2 linked regions of the Oryzias latipes genome follow. The protein of the gene in region 1 purifies or fractionates together with the protein of each later gene. This does not show direct contact. Links are inferred from orthologs where the notes say so. Each region holds a gene or a part of one and is shown in the gene's direction. Other genes may lie near its edges.

Evidence for each region. Proteins that work in one complex are often made in the same cells at the same time.
Region 2: the proteins of flvcr1 (region 1) and tmem9b purify together in Homo sapiens (co-immunoprecipitation; 3 studies listed by BioGRID and IntAct, counting the BioPlex papers as one, with this or other methods). This does not show direct contact. The link is inferred for Oryzias latipes from reciprocal best matches to the Homo sapiens genes FLVCR1 and TMEM9B.

The regions. Positions count from the first base shown.
Region 1 is NC_019882.2:23,314,813-23,318,325, reverse strand, and holds part of flvcr1 (feline leukemia virus subgroup C receptor-related protein 1), read left to right. Parts: intron 1-1,083; coding exon 1,084-1,189; intron 1,190-1,327; coding exon 1,328-1,439; intron 1,440-1,517; coding exon 1,518-1,594; intron 1,595-2,237; coding exon 2,238-2,315; 3' UTR 2,316-3,513.
Region 2 is NC_019861.2:19,775,388-19,779,665, reverse strand, and holds the start of tmem9b (transmembrane protein 9B), read left to right. Parts: upstream 1-1,474; 5' UTR 1,475-1,625; coding exon 1,626-1,700; intron 1,701-2,725; coding exon 2,726-2,817; intron 2,818-2,896; coding exon 2,897-3,005; intron 3,006-3,507; coding exon 3,508-3,642; intron 3,643-4,278. Other genes in the region: scube2 (signal peptide, CUB and EGF-like domain-containing protein 2), read left to right, coding at 1-23. UniProt on the Homo sapiens protein: Enhances production of pro-inflammatory cytokines induced by TNF, IL1B, and TLR ligands. Has a role in TNF activation of both the NF-kappaB and MAPK pathways.

The DNA.
Region 1 (3,513 bases):
AAGAGACTGGTGTACTTTACTATGATAAGACGTGTTCCACAAGCTTCACATGACGTGGTATCACCGTCGCACTCGACTCAATATATCCAACTTTCCTACAAGCTCCTTGAACTATAGATATGTCTTTGTTGTTCTTATGTCAATTTTTCCTTAATCAAACTAGCCGTGGATGGCGGCTCCCTCCATTGCTGCACTTAGAATTACAGCGAGAGAAACCGTGAATAAAAGCACTGGGGTCTTCTGGTTGATGTGCATTTTTAATGGCTTAAATTATTACCAGAAAACTAAAAAAGGCTCTGTCTTTACTGTTTTGTTGCCTTGCTTATTGGTTGGCCCCACTATTTTAACCTGTAGCGTCCCAACTCTGTGGTTAGTGAAACGGATGACTACCATCCCACAGGAATCCCGTGACCCATGGGATTCCTGACAAAATGTTAGTCTCTAATATACAGCAGAGTTCTGTTTTATGTCATTTTTATAACTAGGTAGAAAATGATGAACGGTTAACGTTGGTTCTCTGCCCAACCTCCTGAAGATCTCCTTCAGGAGTTCAAACATGAGGATTTTAGGCAACATTTCTGCAGACACTCTTAACTGAACATGAACTGAACAGTGTTTTATTTTTTTATTCAAATGCTGTGGGTGGATGTCGGTTGCTTGAACAAAAACTGGACTAACAGGTTCTGAGTCTGTTCTCCTCTTAAATATAAAAGCTGTGGCATGAAGCATGTGGTTTTCTTATTTTCATAAATCAGGAGCTCACAAATGGGAGATGTAAAGGAAAAAGACGGATACATTCTATTTTGATCAAGGCCCAGAGTCCCATTCATCCACACACACTCATACACTGATCAGATAAAGATACCTTATTGGTTGGTCCCAGCTTGGGAAATTCGGTGATGGCGGGTCCACTGCTGAACACTGGCACAGACCTATAACCACCATGGGCAACGTGGGATTCAGTGTCTTCCCAATGAAACGTTGACACAGAGGCGGGAGCCGATCCCGCAAACCTCCGTCCTATCAGCGGTTGACCCCCCTGTACCACAAAACTGACATCAGAAAAATGGTCCTGTGTTTCAGCTTCTTCATGACGGGATACTTACCACTCGGCTTCGAGTTTGGAGTAGAGATCACTTACCCAGAGTCTGAAGGAACGTCTTCTGGCCTCCTCAATGCTTTTGCTCAGGTACGTGTCTTACCTGCAGAAGATCTTCTAATTTTGTCTGAAACTATTCTGAACTTTGTAAAAAGAGATGTCTTCTAAGGAGCCAAGAGACGTGTTTCAGATAAGCTGTAAATGTCTCCTGTGTGTGTTTATTTGCAGATCTTTGGGATCCTATTCACTCTCATTCAGGGCAAACTGACCACAGACTACGACCCACTCACTGGAAATCTCTTCCTGTGCGCCTGGATCTTTGGGGGAGCTATTCTCAGTGGTGAGCTGTGTGTGTATGTGCACATGTGCGTGCCTGTCACAGAAAATGCTAAAGCTGCCGCCTGCCTTCCTATTCCAGCTTTAATCAAGTCGGACCTGAAGAGACACAGCGTGAACGTGGGAGCTGGCGGCGCTGTGAGCAGTGAGCTGCAGATGGTGAGTCTGCAGAGAAAGGGCCTCTTCAGCTTGTTTCTGTCTTCAGCAGGAACCCTGAAAGGTCAATCTGTGCAGTGAAAGCGTTCATGTCTCTGTGTGAGCCCTCCCTGACAAATTGATTCATGACATTCGTAAAAACGACATTAAGCAGAACTTTTTCTGAGTCACAATGACGAGTTCAAAGAATCATAAATATTTTTCAAAACACTTTTCCCAAAAACAAGCAAAATTCTCGGGAATTAAAAAAATGTGTCCAGTGTTTACATACACTATCTACAGTGCAGGAATGGGTTTTAACTCATGGCGCATTATTTACACAACTGGATTTAGGTCTGATCAAGTGCTGGTTCTGTTCCTGGTCTGGTCCTGGTCTAGTTCAGAGCTTATCCTGATTTGATCAAGGTCTGGCCCAGGTTTAGTCTTGGCCTGACCCCTATCTGGTCCAGTGCTGGTTATAGTCTGGTCAAGAGCTGATCTTAGTCAGATCCAAAGCCAGTTTCTGGTAATGGTCCTGCTTTAGCAGGTTTGAAGGTTCATCTGAACTCTGGTTTGGACCAAACAACAGGACCCTGTGGTCTCTTTGTGCTCCTGAGGTAAAGTTCTGCTGATTACTTGTTGAGAAACTGCTAATTTCTTCCAACAGCCCCCTCCTGAAGAAATAAAGACCAGGACAGTCCTCCTGGAGCCATCTGTCAGCTTTTCCTGTGAAACCTCGCTGTGATCTGTGGGGGGCGGAGCTTTCCTGGAAATGGCACAAGCAAACAATCTGGGGCGCCCTTTTTGTATGATCACCTGGACAACCGGCGGCTCATCTGAGTCTGGGTCGGATCCCTGCAGGGTGATCACACGCTCACATGTCCCCCTTCATCTCTGCTGAGGAAGACAATGGGCTCAGGTGACCTCTTCTGGTTTTACTGCAGCTGTGGCGCAAAATGATCTGAAGCATAAGACGATCACATGACCAGTGTGTGGTGTGATCTCTGTAAGGAGGAGGAGGACTTTGGAATTTTCCTTAGCTGTTCCTGTTAAATGCAGCGTTATGTCTGAGCTTCAGATCTTCAGCTGCACCTGAGAGTCTGGGCGCTGGACGCCATCCTGCACAAAGATCTTCATGACTGAAACCTGGAACATGAACAGAAATGCAGTTGTTTTTATCAAAACCTGTTCTTAATGGACCAAACACAATGTGAAGTAGTTTGGCTCACAAAGATGCACAACTTCAGGCTCAAATGCACAAGTTAGGTCTTTATGTTGAAACAGTCAGGCTCTGATGGACTTCCAGTTTTAAGGCCGTGTCAGACAGCCACTACTTCCATTTTGCTTATTGTCCACATATGACATTTCTTTCCTCTGTAATCCATGCGTGATCTACATCATTCATAAGTGTTTCTTGCGTTTGTCGTTCAACAATGTGCGCAGATGTCCGTCAAAGATGTCAGCTGATGCGTCTTTATGTGAGCTCCGTTTTGCACTGTTCCACAGTTTTGGTTGGTTGAGAATAACACAGTCATTTCATAAATTCTACGCATTCTACGTGCGTGATTTTTGCGAGATGCATAGGCAGATTTGTGGCTTTCCACAACTGTTCCACGCATGTCTCACATGCTTTTAATGCATGTACCATCGATGTATAACTTTTATATCACGTACACATAACACGCTAAATTTACGTAATTGACACACCAAATAATTACAAATAAACAGCACAATAATCATGCACAATTGGAGTATCGTGTGGCTTTTACGTTGGTTAACGTGTTCTTTGCGTGATTTTGGACCAATTTTCATCCGTGCAGTATGTTCAAAATGTATGTAGTGGCTATGTGACATCATCTTTACGTCTTCATGCTGATAATTATGTTTGACATGTTTGCGTGTTTCACTGAGATGCTGCCAGAGCTCATCAAAGAATCGGTTTG
Region 2 (4,278 bases), on another chromosome or scaffold:
TCCTGACATTCCTTCGCCCATAAATGCTGCACCAGGATTTTCAAGGGACTGTCACACAGATTGGTTGGATGTCATGTCGACGAATATGAAAAACAAATCAAAGCAAATCCCTTAAGTAAAATTAAAAAAGCTATTGAAACGTCAGCGCAGGACTGAAGTACATACCTTAATTTCAGGAGTGCTGAATACATGCTGACAGAATGGGACTTTAATCTATTGCACCACAAGGAGAGACAAACTTGGTGGGCGAACAGACATATATTGAATGTCAATGGTACTGTACATAGATTGTATATCTAGTTTTAACAGCCTTATTTTACTGGATTTGATGCATTTATGACAGAAGTACTGCAAAATGTAAGAAACTAATACAGCACAACTGTTTTCTTGGGAACACTAGCACTGAAAAGAGGTAGTCTCGCCACAAAAGCATTTATTTTGATGACTGTATTGTATATGATGTAAAAAAAGTGTTGAGAGTTTTAGCTACAGATGTTGATGACCCATGTGTTTGGTTTTCCAAGGTGTCTGGATAAACGTAATGGTTCTATAAACCCCTAAGCTTTTCCAGCTATTATCTGCTTTCACGTCAGTCAAAGATGCTTCTGTAGACACCCTGAGATACTAAAGCATGTCATGTCTGTTTCTATGAAAAGTCCTGTAAAATGCTGCTGAGCTACTGACCCATCTTAGATGCGATGTGTATGTATATTTTATGGTTTTGTACATCTAATAAAATTGTAAATAAAGATAGGACTCATATTCATCATTTCCTTAATTACCAGAAAAGAACCTTATTGTTTAGTGTGCACAAATTTCATTTGACATTAGAGTTTAGTATGCAACTGTTTGTCTATATTTGTCTGCTTAAGAAAAACACCAAATAAATCATTACTTGATTTAACTTGCAACACATTATTTAGCCAAAACAAGGTGCATTTTTTAAAGAAAATACAAATATAGGAAAGCTTATGCAGCACAAAAAATAGACCAAGTAACAAATTAAACATAAAAAACAAAATCAGTTAAGGTTAAGCTTTTTTTTATTTTAGACAATTATTAAAAACTTTGCTTCAAATGTGATGACTTTTTTTAAAAATAAATATGTAGTAAATCTGTGTTGTGTGCAAGATACTTTTTAAAGTTACTTCTTTAAAAATAAGCAGTACTTTGTAAAATTTTCACCAAAATAAATAAACCCTTTAAGTGGAAGACGGGTTTAGACGGCTGTCGTCAGTCATTTTAGATCTCCATCTCATTCTGTTGTATTTTTCGTACATGATCATGGCAGTTTAACAAACATGATTTATATAAAAACATAGAAACTAATAAGTACAAAGTAAAAATATTTTTAAAATCCCCTAAATATGTCATGTTTCAAATTCAAAAGACAAATTGTAAACCTCAATAGTTCTTGAAATAAAAAAAAATGTAATATTTCAAATGTCCGCGTCTTAATGTTTGCGGAAGTGAGCCTCTATTTCCGGAAATGACAAGTCAGCTGATGTAGAATCTGCTTATCCTCTACTTGGCTCTACGGCGGACGGCGTCGTTTCTTAGGGTGCATTCGTCTTTTCTCCTTTGTCCCGCAAAAAGAGTCCAGCAGGGTTTGAGTTACTGCGACGATGAAGCTGGTGTTAGCTGCCGAGGCTGCGTGTTTGGCGTGTTTGGTGCTGCTGAGCCAAGCAGCAGCAGCAAAGGTAAGGCTAATGCTAGGCTAATGCTAGCTGACAGCACACAAAACATGGGCGAGTAGCTTACTAAACAGGAATTACACGTCTTAAAATTCTGTCAGCGACAGACACCTTCCCCTTTTTGTTGCTCGCGTGCTTGGTCAGATAGATAGATAGATAGATAGATGGATAGATAGATAGATAGATAGATAGATAGATAGATAGATAGATAGATAGATAGATAGATAGATAGATAGATAGATAGATAGATAGAGATAAAAATGTTGTCATGATTAATTTCTGTTAAGACTTCCTTACTAAAATGTTAATAAATGTGCTATTTCTGATCAGTTGAACATTTTTTTCCTTCTCTACCGAGTTACAGAAAATCTACCTTTATTAAACACAGCAAACGCCAGAAAACAACTGTCCCCCCTTTTTCTTTCATAAAAGCAGACATTAAAGGGAATCTTTGCTATTTCAAAACTACATTTATATGTCAGAAGAATAATAATAAAAACATAAACAGGTACACCAAAGCGAAACAGAAATGCTGCCAACATCCATCAGAACTATTATTTTGGAAACTTTTTTTGTTGCTACTTTGGTGTTATGTACCTGGAAGCTGGATTCCTGTGTTTTTAGTCTCAAGTCTTTTGATTTCTTTTGGCAGCATGTTGTTTCATCATAGAAACTCATACTGTGTATGTAATTATTCCAGAACATCGTTGGTTTTAGCTAAGAAGATCTAAAGCCACCATGCAGTCTTAGGAAAACACTCATTTTTACATTAAAAATCTTTAAGATCCAAGATTTTTATTTTAGCAAGATTTTGAACTATTTCAATAAATAGTAATTACTTCAGTTGTATTATTTTATCCTGTTATTGCTTTGCAAATCTATTTTTTGGTAAACTACAAGTTATAAACTTAATTTTTTGATATTCTTAAAGCTGCTGTGATAACATCACACAAACATGTCAAAACAAATGTCTGAGTTCAATCGACTGCTGCATTTAAAACTTAAACACCTGCTTGACGTAACTTTTACAGAATTCCGAAGACGTTCGCTGTAAGTGTATCTGTCCACCTTACAGAGGCTATGAGGGACATATCTACAAACAAAATGTGTCTCTCAAAGACTGGTATGTAACCAAATGCCATTGTATGTTCCCCCCCCCCCCTTGCTGAATCTTTATCATATGGATGATTTTGTCTCTTAAGTAACTGCCTCCATGTGGTGGAACCGATGCCAGTGGACGGCAAAGATGTGGAGGCCTACTGTCTGCGCTGTGAATGTAAATATGAAGAGAGGAGCTCAGGGACTATAAAGGTGAAGTCAGATTATTGATTTATTTTTTATAAAGTGTCTCTCAGACTGTGTGTGTGCTGGTTTGTCTCTGTATGTACCCTAAAAATGTAGATCTTTTCTGCCTTTAACCCCATGTTTGCTGGGATGGACTCCAGCAACCCCTGTGACCCAATTTAGGACACAGAGGGTTCAGATTAAGGATGTATAAAGTTTTTGATTATTCTTTACATTGCAAACATTTCCTTTTTTTTAAAATACTAATTTGTAGATTTTTTAAAAGCTGGTATTCTCCCTTTTTATCTTGCATATAAACAACAGGGGTATTTTATTTTTTATATGTGACAGTTTCTGACTTTGCACTACTTTTGTATGAAAAGTATTTATATTTATAGTTAAATATAAATATATAAAGAAGTTTAATTTGATCAAATTCAAGGTTATGGAAAATACTTGCTCAACGTTAAATGTGAGGCATGCTATGATTTCTGAGTATGTTTTTTGTTCTCCCTTCTCATGTATTTAGTTTACCATCATCATGTACCTGTCCATTTTGGGCCTGCTACTGCTCTACATGGTGTACCTGACTCTGCTGGAGCCCATGTTGAAGAGGCGGCTGTTTGGACACTCGCAGCTTATCCAAAGTGACGATGATGCTGGGGTAAGTGTTCCTAGCAACATTCAGGAGTCTCAAGGGCAATATGTATAGTTGTTTAATTTTTTTTTTCTGTGAATTTTAGCAGGTTTGATACTTTGAATGGTCATAGTCACAAGACTTGATCAGTAAATGTTCTCCCTTTGCACCAACCATCACGTGGAAGTTTTTCATGCAGTACGAGTAAAATTTAACAAGCTCTTGTAAATCAGTGCCGTACTTTCCCACTCCTTGGGAGGCTCTGAGAAATAGAAATCTGTGCAATCATGCAAAGAAATGTAATTAGGTTGCCCTCTAACAAGTTTGGACTCCTTTGCATGCACTGTAATTTACCAAAATATGTTATTTTCATGCAGATTTTACAAAAAATTAAATGCGATATTCTAGCAACATTGGCTCAGATTGCGGCAGTAGTTCTGTAGAATTGTGGTGAAACTGGAAAGTGTGTCATCTATACATTTAGATACTGTGTTGCGTTCACTTAAGGACTGCCTCCAGCAATCTGGCCAAGCTTGGAGCATTTCCTGGACTCACATCCAGAACCTCTTACTACTGTGCTGCTGTGAATCACATCACATTATCTTTGGTTTAAAATGGAAAAGTTTTACATCGACGGGACTCAATTTTTTGCCTCAGGGATGG